Saccharomyces cerevisiae S288C: one gene and its partner. The gene in region 2 interacts genetically with the main gene of each other region. Each region holds a gene or a part of one and is shown on either strand. Other genes may lie near its edges.

Region 1 (3,548 bases), on a different chromosome or scaffold from region 2:
GTATACATCAAATTCATTCAGGGTTGGTGACTATATTATAGAAGCGTTAATGATTCTGATCGTGGTTCACAGTGAGTGCTTTAGAATTGGGCCTCAGCTCATCCATAAGATTTTAATTGAAACGCAGATTTTTATAGCCAGATACCTCTTTGAGGCATTTAAGCCTTATGTTGGTAATCTTTCTAATGATGGCTCATTACAAATTATAGTGGATTTGGAATTCTTTCAGAAGGTTATGGGTCCTTTACTTGAAAAGGACACCGAGGCCACATTAAGGGCGTGCTTACAAAACTGTTTCCAGAACGACACAAATAGACTACAAAAATGTATCAATGAGATTAATCCTATTGTATCTGCCAATTTAAAAAGAACTGCTATTCAATTCGCCGCCTTCAGCTAGAAACAGAGGTATAAAGATGTACTAACAATGATTATTAACACAAATCGGTACGTATCTTTTTTTATATTAGTTATAAAGATGTACTTACTACCTTTTTATTTCACGAGTAATGTTCTCCATGTTTTCTTAACGAGGAAACATTGTATAACGGGTAAATTTCTTCTTTCTTGGTCACCAAGTTAGAATCCCCTTGTACTGATTGTATGATGGCACTGTCAAATTCGTTTGATTTTTCATTATTCACGACAAAACTATTCTCATTTAAGTTATATTCAATGAATTTGGCAAAATTTTTTTGCACACCAGATGATTCCTTATTATCTAGGGTGACTTGGAATTCATCATTATGGGCGGATAATGAGATAACATTATATGGAAAAGTTATAATTTGCTTTAGTGCAAGATCCCCTTTTTGTTTTTCGGACATTTCCAGAATTATTATGCATTTTGTAGCTTCGACGAAAAACGCAACAAACGGTAGGTTCTTTGACTTTATAATTTTACTAACTGCAAATTCAATAATATCATTATTTTCATTTTGAAATCTTGGTGGTGCTAAATGCTGATCATTCAAATAAGGTTTAATCAAACTATTATAATCGAAGGTAGACAAGTTCTTACCAGTTTTCCAATCCCAAGCGAAGATTTTATCGTCACCACCTGCACTTAATAATAAATAGTCTTTGCCACAGCATATGGAAGAAACAAAATGCTTATGACCAAAGAGCCATTTGTCCACAATGAAACATTGGGGATAATGCGAAATTTTAATATGCTCATCTCTATCACTTGTAATTATGAATTGATGACCGTCAGAGTCTTTAATCAAGTGTACATCAGTCAACATAGAGACATGACCGAGAATAGGTTCTTGAGTAAACTTTTCTTCCGGGATAGAATTAATATCAATAGAATATACATCACCAAATTTGTCAGCTATTATGACTGTAGTATCATCTTCGGCTATAGAAATAGCATTCGGTCTCTTTGAGAAGCAGAACCTTTTTCTCAACTTTAAGACATTTTTGGAAGTTTTGTCGACATCGAAAACTAGGAGGGACTTGTCAGAATCTGCGCACGCAATTAGTCTTGATTCATCCGAAGTTAATCTCAGATTTCTTATGTACGAATATATCGGTGGGGCGCCAAGACCTGGAGATGGTACCTTGGCTGCTGTCCTTTTAATGGAATCGCCTTTATTACTTTTCAATTTTTTGTTCTCGTTTTCGTTTTCGCTGGATTGTCCTTGTTGCTCCTTAGCAGTGGTGTTTCTCGATTCTTGAATTTTGTCGAAATCATCAGACCATTTTCCAGCAAATTCCCAATGATTTGGCGATTGATATTTGAAGCTTAAGATACAATTCTTAATGATGGCGAAAACTAATGAGCCATCACGAGAGGTGAGTAAATTCTGCAAAGGATGAATGACGCTCATTGTAAAACACGCGGACTGCTTCAAATTGACAAACCTTGCTATACTTTAGCTGCTAATATATCATCAATACGCCTTTACTAGTAAAAAATTTTTTCATCTCATCGATTTTTTTCACCTCGCCATTTTTTTCGCTGATTAAAAGAAATGTATCTGAGATAAGTGCCATATTTAATGACAGCAGCGTAAAATAAGAATATGTAACGATACAATAAGAAAACTATGTTTATGTGTCACCTCTTGCTTGCGTCTTGGGAAAAGCATTCCCAATAACAGAATACTAAACCGGATGTAGTAGCCCTCTTAGTTTTTCTATCTAACATGTCCATCCTCCTGGATCAAAATATCAGTAATCTTGTATTCCTTACTTGCGATACAGCTATTATTACAGGCACTCTTTAAAAATCATCGAATAGCCGATCGACTACACACTTATCCCTATAACATGGTGTAAGTGATAGAGAGGTGAATGGCGGCGTCGTCTTATGTTCTCGCAATTATTGGTAGATGGTCACACAGCACGGTGTTTTTCTTTTGCTTAAACGATCAGTTTAAGTCCCTATTGAAACTAGTAAGACATTGCTTTGTAAGACCTTGAAAATAATTAGAATCCACTGACAAAGTAGAAGAGTGTGCACATGCTTGGTTTGGCGGAACGATGTCTGATTTAATTGAATTACAGAGGAACTATTTGATAGGGGTTTTGAATCAGATTGAGACGAAAAATAACTTGAAGTTTCTTATTATCGATAAAACTGTGGAGACAATATTGAGTTATCTTTTCCTCACACCCCAAGAACTTTTAAATAATGTCACATCTGTTGATTTGATTGATTCCCCAACAAGAAAAGGACAATCCTCCATCGAGGCAATTTACATATTGGAACCAACGAAATATAACATCAATTGTATCGATGCTGACTTCATGGTAAGACCACCTAAGTACAGAAGATGTCACATCAGATTTTTACCAGGATTAACAAACCCTATATTTCAGTTTTTTCAATCAAAACGTTACATTGCTCAAAATTTGGAGTCATTTAAGCCGATCGAACTAGGGTTTTTCGTCAAAGAATCTCAATTCTTCGAAACTTTACAAATGGAACACTCATTACAGGTTTTTTTCAACAACAACTGTAAGGCTTTGATTCCTACTAACGTGAGGAAGATTGTAGGCTCACTAGTTAGTTTGTGTGTTATTACGGGGGAATATCCGATTGTTAGATATTCTGTATCTAATCCTGTGGAAGAGGAAGATGCCCGCAATGGAAACGCCGTAGTCAACGCAAATTCTTTAACAAGGTCTATTGCAAACGCTTTCCAAATAGCGATAGATACATACGCTCGCAATAATCCAGATTTCCCTCCTCAAAACACTGAAAGACCGCGTTCCATTCTAATAATCACCGATAGAACACTGGACCCTTTTGCGCCAATATTACATGATTTTAGCTATCAAGCAATGGCTTATGACCTGGTAGCTAATGTGGACACACAAAAAGATATATATCATTATTCTGCCGAGAATGAAGCTGGTGAGCAAGAGGAAAAGGTTTCAAAATTGGTAGATTTGTATGATCCTGACTGGATTGATTTGAAACATCAGCATATTATGGATGCCAACGAATATATTCAAGGAAGAATCAAGGAACTGATTGCTAAAAACCCTCTGCTGGTTGATAGATCGAACGTAAAGAATACTACCGATCTGCTGAG
Region 2 (13,140 bases):
ATGTGGTAATTTTGGATTCATCGGTTCTTCTAACGGCTCTATCACCATCTATAATATGCAAAGTGGTATACTCCGTAAAAAATACAAATTGCACAAAAGAGCAGTCACCGGTATATCCTTAGATGGTATGAATCGTAAAATGGTTTCTTGTGGACTAGACGGTATTGTTGGTTTTTATGACTTTAACAAGTCAACCTTGTTGGGAAAATTGAAATTGGATGCACCTATTACCGCAATGGTTTATCATCGTTCTTCCGATCTATTTGCATTGGCTTTAGACGACTTATCAATTGTTGTTATTGACGCAGTTACTCAAAGAGTTGTTCGTCAATTATGGGGTCATAGTAATAGAATAACTGCATTTGATTTCTCACCTGAGGGCCGTTGGATTGTTTCCGCTTCTCTAGATTCCACCATTAGAACGTGGGATCTTCCAACCGGAGGATGTATCGATGGTATCATAGTAGATAATGTCGCTACGAATGTAAAGTTTTCTCCGAATGGTGACTTGCTTGCCACTACCCATGTTACTGGTAATGGTATATGCATCTGGACGAACAGAGCACAATTTAAGACAGTATCGACAAGAACCATCGATGAGTCTGAATTTGCAAGAATGGCGTTACCTAGCACATCTGTTCGAGGGAACGACTCGATGTTATCAGGGGCTTTAGAAAGCAATGGAGGAGAAGACCTAAATGATATTGATTTCAACACTTATACATCATTGGAACAGATTGATAAGGAGCTGTTGACTTTATCAATAGGACCTAGAAGTAAAATGAACACATTGCTTCATTTAGATGTTATCAGAAAACGTTCTAAGCCAAAGGAAGCTCCAAAGAAATCAGAAAAGCTTCCATTTTTCTTGCAACTATCTGGGGAAAAGGTTGGGGATGAAGCCTCTGTCAGAGAAGGCATAGCACATGAAACACCAGAAGAAATCCATCGCAGAGATCAAGAAGCACAAAAGAAGTTAGATGCAGAAGAGCAAATGAATAAATTCAAAGTTACAGGAAGATTAGGGTTTGAATCACATTTCACAAAGCAATTACGAGAGGGCTCACAATCCAAGGACTATTCATCATTGCTGGCCACTCTAATAAATTTCTCACCTGCTGCAGTGGATTTGGAGATAAGATCATTGAATTCCTTTGAGCCATTTGATGAAATTGTGTGGTTTATCGACGCGTTAACACAGGGGTTGAAGAGCAATAAAAATTTCGAACTTTATGAAACGTTTATGAGCTTACTGTTTAAGGCACACGGTGATGTTATTCATGCTAACAACAAGAATCAAGATATTGCCTCTGCTCTTCAAAATTGGGAGGATGTACATAAGAAGGAAGACAGATTAGATGATCTTGTGAAGTTTTGCATGGGAGTGGCAGCTTTTGTGACCACCGCGTGAGCATTATATAGAACAAGTATATTAGTAACAAAGGCAGATTGTATATTTTTCTTTTTCCTATGATGTTTTTTGAGAGGGTAACCAAGAATTATTTATTGGGTTTGTTGCAGTGTTCTTAAAGGGTCCCTCCCACATTTAATAAATGATCGACAATAAATAAATGTTCCTTACATTCTCAATGTGTGTGAACTGGATAATCGTAAAAATGCCAAACAGGTCTGAAGAACTTGACCGATTACTCGACAAAATAATCAACTCTCCGCATAGAACAGAAGCCTCGAAGACTTTGCAAGAAATTGAAAATAATCAATCATATATTTTAAATGTACAGTTGAAGAAGTTATTGCGACTTCATGACGACTCATTTAAAAATAAGTGTGTTTCTCCTATTAACTATATGTTGGAAAAGTACACTCCGTATATGGGGCATACCGAAGCATTACAAAAGGAAGCAGAGCTTGTGGATAGGGATCTCCGAATCCTTGAAATGACGTACCAACTGATAGAAAAGAATCGCAACTCGAAATAAAACGATAAATATATTCAATGTTTTTAAATTAGTACTATTATTATATGTTATTATTAATGGAATGAATCAATACGTATTTTATACAGAAATAAGATTTGAGAAAGAAGGGTAAGAAAAAAAAGAAGAATAAGTAAATGACGAAGTTCTTTAACTGAGTTAAAGTTGTGTAATGCAAATTTGAAGAAAGGAAAAGATGCTATAAGGCAAAACAAAAAGGACGTCGACACTCAGTCATGGCATGCCCTTGGCAGCATTAGCCCACTTTCTCGTTTCCGTCCAGCCTGCATTTATGACTTGTAAAGCATCTTCCAGATTTAGAGGCTCTCTCAATGGCTTATCATCTACCACCAGTTTCTTGTAAACTCGAGCATAATATTCCTGAGGTATAGCTTGGAAAATCTCCCTTCGAGTAACTCCGTCATTATTGGCGCTTTCACTTTGCTCAGTGGGTTGTGTCCAGAGTTGTCTTCTTCGTTTCCAGATTTTCTCAGCGTTACAAAACGGCGCCTTACTTTTCTGTGCTAATTTTATGCGTTCCTCCACTACGTTATAGTTTTCAAAGTTCTGCGTAGACTTCTTCGAATTCGATAGAGTATGCGAGGCGGTTGTGGTCGTGTTATTAGCAGAGCTAGATTCCTCACTCTCATCTGTGAGCTTCATCTCCAATGTACTATTGACACCTCCTCCTACCTGCGACATAGAAGCACCACTATCTCTGTCTATACCCTTGGAGGCTACGACGGCAGGCTGAGACACAGTAAACAGAGCCTCTATTTTTTCATCGCTTCCACTAGAGTCATCGATACTACTCAACGTTTCGTGGGTAATTTTCTTTAAAGTTTCTTTCCATTTTTGTAAAGTATGTGTTAAGGTATACTTAATATTCTTTTTTGGGGTCTTGGAAGTAGAAACAGTCATAATAAACCGTTAGCTTTTGAATACTGTATTTCTTTTACTAAACTGATCGTACAAAATTATTCGGGTTTTAACGACCTTAATGGACAAAAATATGTGACAAGCTATATTGAAGTACCAGCGGAAGAGTAGCTAAGCACTAGCGTTTGTTGTTAGAGTATTCCCTGTTTTTATAAATATTCCAAAGAATTATACAACACACTTTTTTGCGACCAAAGAATAAGCAGAAAAAAATAATAACTCCGATGGTTATTTCTATTGTTTACTAAAGTTCAATGCCTCTATCACTCATGCATCGTTTCATTTTAAAGTTGAAAAATGTTAGCAAGAAAAAAAAAGAAACGCGCGCTGATAGCATTACACACGGGTAGCAAGCAAACATGGTGTGGGGAAGGTGAGGGTAAAGAAGAAATCTACCAAGATCATGGTGCTGCACGTTTGCTGAGCCAAACAAAACCACTGTTGTCGGTAGAATTATCGAATTATCGATAATCTTCCATAAAGACTTTTTTACTAAGAGAGACTTCGTATCTCTTTTTCTTTTGATTCGGAATAAAACCCCGTTAGTACCATATAGGACGTTTACTTAAAGCCTTGCGCCATATCGCCGCCAGATGATACAAAAACCGATTTTATTATCCTCGTTTCTGTTTCTCTACATCCGTGCATTATTACATAGTATACATCCGTACATCCGTACATCCGTACATCTGTACACAAAAAAAATCACCTCATACAATTTTTTAGGAGTGCCGTTTAAATGAAGCGCAGCCAGATGCGACAAAAACTTAAAGGCGCGGCTCAGCCTAGATTACGTTCTTTTTCAGGTGATGGTGCCATTTCCGCCCTTCTCGTTAGAGCCGGAACGCAGATGAGCTGCCCTCTGGCGCCCGCGCTCCTCGCCTGGTAAGTTCACTACTAGGCTGGAAGTTGTATGGTGTCCTCTGGGATTGCAAGGGCACGCTAGTTGGATGTGCTCACAATTGGATTGGCACTTCAAATGCCAACTGGAAGGGCGCGAAACCGAGGGTAATGCGACAGAGGGCACTGACGTTGTTTCGTAACCTTGTAAGCTCTTTCTGATGGTAGTGCTTCATGTACATGTTTACTCTATTATTTGACCAGTCTCATTGTTGATAGGTTCCTTAGTTTTACATAGTCTTGGGTCTTAGTATATTTCAATTGCACGAGCAGATAATCCAAAGTACTTGAAAATGGCCGGTTTAAAAGACGTTGTCACTCGTGAATACACCATCAACTTGCACAAAAGAGTATGTCGAAATTAGCGTTGTCTTTACGTGGGAAATTATTGAAAGCCAACAAGCGATATTGTGGTGAAATACCAAGCGAAATCTATACGGGTGAAATTTCATTTTCCAATGATTGACCCCAGGTTTTAATTCGGAATATTAGAGGTTATTATATGGAATGCGTGATGCAAGGACTGGAAGGTTCTTCTTCGGTACTGCATTTCTCTGTGTTCTGCGATCGATATCCGTACCTCACGTTTACACTATAATGGCGCTTGGGCCGATGTTTTTGGCGTGATGCTTTAGTTCCACCTTCTTATAACAACTTTTTTTTTACTAACAGACCAATCTTGAATTGATATTAATATAGCTACATGGTGTCAGTTTCAAAAAGAGAGCTCCAAGAGCTGTGAAGGAAATCAAGAAATTCGCCAAATTACACATGGGTACTGAAGATGTCCGTCTAGCCCCAGAATTGAACCAAGCTATCTGGAAAAGAGGTGTTAAGGGTGTTGAATACAGATTGAGATTGAGAATCTCCAGAAAGAGAAACGAAGAAGAAGATGCCAAGAACCCATTGTTTTCCTACGTCGAACCAGTTTTGGTTGCCTCTGCTAAGGGTCTACAAACCGTTGTCGTTGAAGAAGATGCTTAAATTGTAAAAAAAAAAAAATAATGTCCATCTTATAAGCATTTTATTTCTTTTAGGTTATATTATTACACAAACAGAGCTGCTTTCGGGGTACGAGTATACGCTCTTGAATGATAGGAAAATATATACAATTTCAGTACCACAGTTTATTAGATTTTTGTAATTCAAAATTTATTCATTCTTGTCTCTCAACCACTGAGGCGCTCCTCTGCACACAGCTATTAGCTTTATAAGGAATTTCAACGCCCATGCCAAATCCATCCTCGCCGTAACGCTTGAACTCAAAGGTTTTATTAAACCAGTCGATCAGACTAATGTAATTTTTAAGATTCATCATTTTCTTTAACAGAGATTTCTTCAACTCCATATTTTCAAGCATACAGTACAGATGGTGCTGAGCCAATTGAAAAGGCAAGCCACCAAACTCTAGAGCCCAATAACAAAACTTCTCAATGCAGCCCCAAGGGCAGGTAGTATATCCAGCAAATAACGCTGGATTGCTTAACAACCCACGCACAGCCATGACACCATGTGCACCAGTGTATTTGGTGATTCTTTCCAAATCGGATAACTTAAAACAATCCCCATTCGCTATTACAGGCACATTTTTGTCGCTGATGTTCTCGATGATATATTTTATCGCATCCAGGTTAGCCGGCTGCGATGACCTAGTTCTACGTGTTCGGCCATGAATCGTAATCCAATCTACCCCAGCATCACATAGCTTTCTACATAACTCCACCGTCTCGTCCAATGCCTCATGTATTCTTATTTTCGTTTCAATTCTTAGTTTGTCGCCATACTTATCTTTCACAGCATGGACCATACTGCATAACAAATCTGAATTGTATATCAGAGCGCAACCTATGCCCTCTCGGATTTGTTCCTTTATAGGACAACCACAGTTAATACCAATACCATCACAGTATGGGGCAACCATTTCCACAAATTTTAGTAAATCAGCCACGTTATTTACACCTACTTGGACGATTAGCGGGGTGTCCTCATTATTTGTAGAAAGGTCTGAGATTCTTGCATGCTCATTACGGACATATTCTCTTGCCAAAATCATGGGGGAGTAAACTATATCAACGTTATATTCTCGGCACAACTGACGGAATGGTAACTTGGAATACCGAACCATTGGGCCTGCAATGGTCACGGGCCGACCATGTGTCTTTTGCCTCGTCTTTATTATATGCAGTGGATCTGTTTCTTCAGTAATAAGCTTCGGCTTCGGTATCAGAACATCACCGGATGGAATATGCATTGTGTGCATTTTCTTTAGAATCTTTATTCTGCATATGAATTATAACTTTGAAGAATCCATCTCTTATTTTCATTTTGAGTTTTTTCGCTGATCATCTTTTTTTTATTCAGGGCGAAGAAGCAGAATGCTGGAAGAGCCTACTTACTTAGAAAATAACAGCTAGGTTTTAAAATTATATAGCGAGAAGTACAATTCTATCAGCTATGTTTCTTGGATTTTTCCTGACCCTTTCTAACAAAAATGAATGCAGTGCAACCTGTGATAAAAAAAAGTACACATATTATGCAATGGAAAATTGAAATGCCAATAATATAAGATAAAAATCTTTTTCGAAGCATCAAGTTTCTTAATCCCTGCTCAAAATTCATCCTAAACTTAATCCCACTTTCTGGATGTATTATTAGATTTCTTTGGGCAATCTCCGTTTTCAAGAACACCGAGATTGTTTCATATGAAGACTCTAACGATATTTTGTCCTCTATTCTTATTGTATTTAGCCATTCTTCATCGTAAACGTCTAGACGTGATGGGCCTAGTTGTTCGATCTCCTGAGGCGACATGGAATCCGTCAGTGCGAGGCAGACAATAGGTCTAGAAGTGTGAAAGATTTTTTCATCTTTGCTGTTACTTCCTCCAGGAGCACCCAATAGCGGGCCTGGACCTCTGTAAACATCAATTAACAAATTGTCTAAATTTAAATGGTCAGTTTTGCTCTGGCAATAAAGCTGTAGGTTTAGATCGAGCTTGTATTCCATGTTGTCACGCATGGGGATTAACTGTGATAAGCCATTGTCTATTGTTTGCGGCAGATCTGTACCTACCGGAATGCTTTTAATAGATTGGAAGAATTTTGTACCAAATTGTACGCCATTTAAAATGTTGAACGTATTAAGGGGGACTACGTTAGAGGAATCGGCAGGTAATAGTCTTAGGTAAAAATCGTGATATATTAAGATCGATAAAGGAAGAATGATTAGCAATTGTATCAGAAATGCAACAACAATATATGAACTCCATTGTAAAAACTGTAATGGACGGGATACATTGATTTTCATCCTTCCTATTCACTTTATCTTATTTTCTTGAAACCTTGGATTCACATTTTGATAATTTGCCGTAAGCTGTCTCTATTTTTCTGTCTTACGCGCATTTATATTTTTAATAACCTTACGTTGAGATTTTCAAATTATACACATAGTAGCAACTAATGATGAGGTAGTTATACTTAACTTTCAAAAGAGCGACTCTAGTATTAGATGAACAATTAGGTTGCTTTATATGGATGACGAAAAGTCTTATTTACAAAATAACTCTCAATAAATGTTTCTTGACCATATGGCTTGGTGTTGTCAACTTTCTAGATAATACTTATCAGCGTGATTGGATTGTAGGTTTGGGAGGAAGGTTGCTTTTTAAGTTACTTATAGTATATTATTATTGATATTGAATTAATTTACTTTCATAAGTGTATAAAATAAAAGTTCAACATTACTAACAAAACTATAATATTTTCTCAACCAATTATTAACCTGTGATAGTTGCGCTGTAATTCCAGTCTAATTAATATGCTTCGTAAGATTAATTGTAATATTTAAGTAATCTTTTAATGGTTCAATAAGATAGTTTCTGCCTAGAAAAACGATCCGACAACGTGCATGGTAATTCACTTACAAATACACAGAATTGCAGATAAAAAACGGAACCTTTTATTTAAGATTTAGAGCATGAATAAGAAGAATTAAAGTTTCTTTTCTTAGAATAAAAATAGTTTTTAATACATCAGAACAGAAGGAAGTAAGTAAAGCCAAAATATATATAGTAAAAACACAGTAGTAAAAAATGAATAGTAAAAAACACACAACAATAATACTAAAAGGAGAGACCAGACAGAGCGCAAATCGTTTTCATGACGGAGTATTTAGAGGAAATGATGACAAAACAAGAAAATGTTATTCTATTATAAGTTCATTTTTCAATAATAGATATGCTTTTTATTTTTTGAAATTAATGGTAACAGTCGAAGAGCACAGCTTTATCATGCATTTTCGTTCAAAGATGATCACATAAATTGCGCCCAACAACAAGAGAAAGAGCGGCCGCTCGATGCATGAGTCGGTAACGGTAGAATTAGTATCTAAATAGCATACTAAATCAATTCAGTAAAGAAACAATTATATCTTAGTGAGTGGAGTGGCCCCTGTGATATTTTAAACCGTTCAAGTTCTTATATCTCTTACCACAAACTTCACAACGGTATGGTTTATCCTTTGCAGAGCCCATTCCATCACCAAAAGAATCTGTCGAATCTGGATCTATTACGCTAAATGTACCGTCAGGGTTTTCATGTAATTTTTGATTCTGATGTCCGTGCAACCTATGGTACTTCAAACCGTTTTGGTTTTTATAAGTCTTTTCACAACCAATAACTGGACACTTAAAGGGTTTTTGTTCCTCATGATCCATTACATAGAGCCTTCTCGCAGGATCGTCTATATAAGCTTGCTGAGGCATCTTGTAATTGTTGTTATGAACTGATTTTCCATTGGAACTGGAGCCATTTTCTGTGTCATCGTCATCGTCATCGTCATCGTCATCATCAACATCATCGTCATCATCAATGTCATCAATGTCTTGATCCTCGACCATGTTTTGAGAAGATTTTGCGTGTACGGAAGAATGAAAAGTATTGTAGTTGTGAGAACCTGTAGTTGGATTTACGACAGAGTTCATGGAATTGTGGTTACTAGGGCCCAAAATATCATCATCCATAAAACTTAAATCTATATCTTGGACAAGTACCAGAGGTGATAAATCGGTTTGATGAGGATCAATTTTTCTTGATTGATGTTGAATAGGATTCCTGGACGTTTTGTTCAAGGAATAGTTATTAAAAGTATGTGGACGATTCACCATGGCGTTTTTACTACCCATGTTAATATTAGAATTGTGTGAGGTATTATTATTGATATTGATACCACTATTATTGTTACTGTTAATTTGTTTATTGTGCGGAACGTGTCTTGATGGAGAATTGCTCGTTCTTAAAAACACATCATTCGTTGAAACGGCATCGACTAGATTACCATTCAGATGTAGTTGTTGAGAGTGATTAGCCATAGATAAGCCCGAGTTGGGGGCACCCGTTATAGATATCACATTTGGATTTGCAGTTGTGGACGACGCAGTTGCTGAACCCATTACACTCGGTGTGGGTACAGCCCCTGATGTATGATTTACAGAATTCGATTGCAACTGTTGTTGTATTATATTCTGCTGATGGTGAGGATGCTGAGATTGTCGTATTGTGGAGTTGGAATCCATGTTGCTCTGAAGATTGGCATGCATATTATTAATGGAGGTGTTATTAGTTGCATTGCTGCTATGAGCCTGCATAGTATTAGTCTTATGACCTGCATTTTTTGTATTAGCGGCCATGTTATTCTGCAGGTTATAGTTGGCAGAAGAGGTATTATTTGTCATACGAACTGATGAACTAGTGTTACCAGCAGAGTTCATCGGTATTTGTGACATATTGGTAGTGTTAGGAGACGTGGATATATGAGCTTCTTCGTAATGTCTCAGCAAATCATGCAAACCTGGTAAGGAAAGACCACAGCATGAATAATCTTTACAATATTGCTTTTCTAGATTTGGCAGATAAGCAGTGTAGGCTATCTGAGGAGAAATAGAATACCCTCTATGGTAAGGCGGATTACTAACAGAGGGTCTCTTAGTTGGTTGTTGAATCTGCAAAGTATTAGTGGCAGTAGTGGTTGCAGAAGCGGCAGCGGAGGCAGCACCGTTTGCTGATGCAGGTACAATACTATTTCTACGGCTAATAATTTCATCTCTTAACCAAGAACCAACACTAATGGATCCCCATGAAACACCACCCATCCCTTGAGAATGGGCTATTGATTCTCTCCGTAACTTGGCAATGTCCTGTGGAGTTAGTAGCGTTTGGTCCATTATATTTGGAGAGTACAAATGAACATTATTTGTATTATTCATGATATTTTTTTGGTGAATATTATTGACGCCGTTAAAATCTGTGTTTTTTCCATTAGAAGAATCCGAATTGTTATTTATCAAAATGGAAGGAGTATTCTGGTTCGAATCAATATCAATATTAAAGTTTGATGACGAATTTATAGATGCATGTGCCGATGTAGCCGTCGTAGTAGTACTAGTAGCCATATTGCTTGCCATAGTCATTGTTGTAAAATCCATACTCAGATAAGCTTTTCCTGTTTCGAAGAAAAATAAAAATACTGAATATGAATATGTCTTTTAATAACAATAAATTTGAAAACGCCTTACAAGTGAAATCTTGAGGTGATTAATAGTAGGTGAATCCAGAGAAAGTGTTTCGAGGATATAATATGGTATCAGAAAGCCAAAAGACGACCGGTATATTATAAACTTAGTATGAATGTATCGTGGCGCTTTTTTCTCCTAGCTTTATTCTTCTTGCTTTCTCGCTCTAAATATGATATTGCGATAAAAGGAAGTAGTTTAACTCACCGTAAAATCGATCAATATTAGAAAAACAGAAAACCACCAGAGAGAAGCACCGATATGTAATTGAAGTAGAAAAAAAATCTAGCTTTCCTTCTCTTTATAAGCGAACTTAATGATTAGATTGACTAGCGCTATCCTTCTTTGATTGTAATATTTGTCAAACCTTGTTAACGGAGCCACTAGAATGTACAAGACGTTATATAGGGATGACAGGTAGAAAAGAGATAGGGCCTGGGAGGTAAAATGCGTACGTTAGCCTAGAGAGCTTTAAATCGGTGACGATGCGAAAGCAAATGATAATGGCAATAGCGGTGGCAGGCGACAGTGGCAAGTGACAATGGCTGATAGTGACGTTATTTGATACAAAATCGCCTTTTAACGAATGCATCGCCCATTTGTTCCAAATTTCAATTGATTCGAAATTGCTCCTTATTATGTAACTGACAAAATCCTGTCCCCTTGCACGACGTAGGCGCGTTTTGTTTCTTTTTCCTACCGCAGACCACCTTGCGCACGGGAACGCCGCACTGTTTGGCACCCAGTCACCGCCCGTACCGTCGTTCCACAGAACATGCCGCAGAAACCTGTCGGGTAATAGTACACGGGATGAAGAGACTTAATGCCGACAAGCCGGGTAGGGGAATTGTAGCTCCGAAAAGCGACGGAAAGTTCAATATACAGAAAGCCCGTGCACCATTTTTGAAAAGTTTCATAAGATCTAGTTAAAGTTATGAAGAATTTAGTTCGAATGTGTAGTGATGAGATGAGCAGTAATGAAACATTAATGAACTCAGAATAGGAAAAAAAGGCAACTTCTAAACATTATTGATGGAGCAAAACGCTGAAAAACGCTCTATTGTTGGCGACGACAACTCAACCGTGAAGAGACAAGACACTTCCCCGTCCAAAGGTATTGCACATATCAAACCAGAATATATTGTACCATTGAAGCAGAATGAAAACCAGAAGGTCGCCATCTATGATGAAGAGATGTCTTCCGACAGAATGACAAACGAGTTTGCAGGTGGGACTAATAAGAAAAATAAGAACGGAAGAGGTAAGAAGCGTGGGCAAAACAAGAATAGAGATAACAGGCAGGTCAAGGAACAGAATGTCTTGTGCCCACGCTTGATCCATGGCGATATATCTAAATGCTCCTTTGGTGATAACTGTAGGTTTGTTCACGATATCAATCTGTACCTTTCAACAAAAAAGCCTGAAGTTGAAAGTAATATATTTCCTTCCTGTCCGGTCTTCAACTCGTTGGGATTTTGCCCCATGGGATTCAAATGCAGATTTTTATCGTCTCATCTGAATAAAGAAGATAATATCCTAATATCGAAGAAGGAGATTGATCCAGATGCGCAAACAATATGGTCCGTTAAAGGTGAGGTAAACCATATCTCACCGGAAAGAAAACTCGATCTTATAAAAAGAAGATTTCCTTTCACAAAAAGTAATGAAATATTGGAAATCATCGACTCTTTCCAACAAGAATGTAGAGATTCCATGAAGCCAGAAGAAGAAGTTGAGTCAACGCCACAGCTGAAGAAACAAGACCCAGATGTGGAACAACCAGTTGCCCCCCAAGTCGAACAGAGGAACAAAGAATTGTCAGAACATAGAATGAAACAGCGTGAAGTATACTTGAAGTACAAGGACACTCGTTATTTTGCTCAAGAAAAAAAGCCACTGGATTTGTACCACAAAAAAATCGTGTCGCCATTGACAACCGTAGGCAATTTACCATACCGTCGTCTAATGAGAAAGTTAGGTGCAGATGTGACATATTCGGAAATGGCCTTGGCAGTTCCCTTAATTCAAGGAACTAATTCTGAGTGGGCGTTACCTAAAGCTCACACATCAGAGTTCCCCGGGTTCGGGGTTCAAGTGGCCTGTTCTAAAGCCTGGCAGGCGGCAAAGGCTGCAGAAGCACTCGCAAACTCCGTCAGTGAAATAAGTGAAATCAACTTAAACTCTGGCTGCCCCATCGATTTGCTATACAGACAAGGTTCTGGTAGCGCCCTGCTGGATAACCCTGCAAGAATGATTCGTTGTTTAAACGCGATGAACTACGTATCGAAAGATATTCCTATCACGGTGAAGATCAGAACAGGTACAAAGGAAGGTCATCCTATCGCGGAAGGGTTAGTCAAAAGACTGGTTAACGAAACTGATGTGGCTGCGATTACCTTACACGGTAGGTCTAGGCAACAAAGGTACACTAAGTCTGCGGATTGGGACTACGTGAGTCAAGTGGCTGACACCTTGAGATCCGCCGAAGCGGATTTCATCGAAACCGAACAAGGCAAAGAAGGCAGGGATTCCAAGAACAGAATTCAATTTGTCGGAAATGGTGATGTCAACAATTTTGAAGACTGGTACCGCTATTTGAACGGAAATGAAAATATTGATAGTGTTATGGTTGCTCGAGGGGCCCTGATCAAACCATGGATTTTTGAAGAGGTTGAGTCGCAGCAGTATCTAGACAAGACAAGTACGGAAAGATTAGACATTTTAAGGGATTATGCGCAGTTCTCTATGGAACACTGGGGCACCGACGAATACGGCATTTCTCAATGTCGTAGATTC

Evidence for each region.
Region 1: mutations in DUS4 (region 2) and TRM82 impair growth when combined (synthetic growth defect), as found in Saccharomyces cerevisiae (one study listed by BioGRID).

What each region holds. Positions count from the first base shown.
Region 1 is NC_001136.10:783,158-786,705, reverse strand, and holds TRM82 (Trm82p), read right to left. Parts: upstream 1,836-3,548; coding exon 501-1,835; downstream 1-500. Other genes in the region: exocyst subunit SEC5, read left to right, coding at 1-400; SEC1 (Sec1p), read left to right, coding at 2,491-3,548. UniProt on the Saccharomyces cerevisiae protein: Required for the formation of N(7)-methylguanine at position 46 (m7G46) in tRNA, a modification required to maintain stability of tRNAs; its absence resulting in tRNA decay.
Region 2 is NC_001144.5:922,685-935,824, reverse strand, and holds DUS4 (tRNA dihydrouridine synthase), read right to left. Parts: upstream 6,037-13,140; coding exon 4,933-6,036; downstream 1-4,932. Other genes in the region: rRNA-processing protein UTP21, read left to right, coding at 1-1,411; BLS1 (Bls1p), read left to right, coding at 1,572-1,940; GAG1 (Gag1p), read right to left, coding at 2,172-2,858; YLR406C-A (uncharacterized protein), read left to right, coding at 3,470-3,619; 60S ribosomal protein eL31 RPL31B, read left to right, coding at 4,070-4,126, 4,476-4,760; SEI1 (seipin), read right to left, coding at 6,225-7,082; zinc-coordinating transcription factor SFP1, read right to left, coding at 8,206-10,257; tRNA dihydrouridine synthase DUS3, read left to right, coding at 11,377-13,140. UniProt on the Saccharomyces cerevisiae protein: Catalyzes the synthesis of dihydrouridine, a modified base found in the D-loop of most tRNAs. Specifically modifies U20a and U20b in cytoplasmic tRNAs. Also able to mediate dihydrouridylation of some mRNAs, thereby affecting their translation.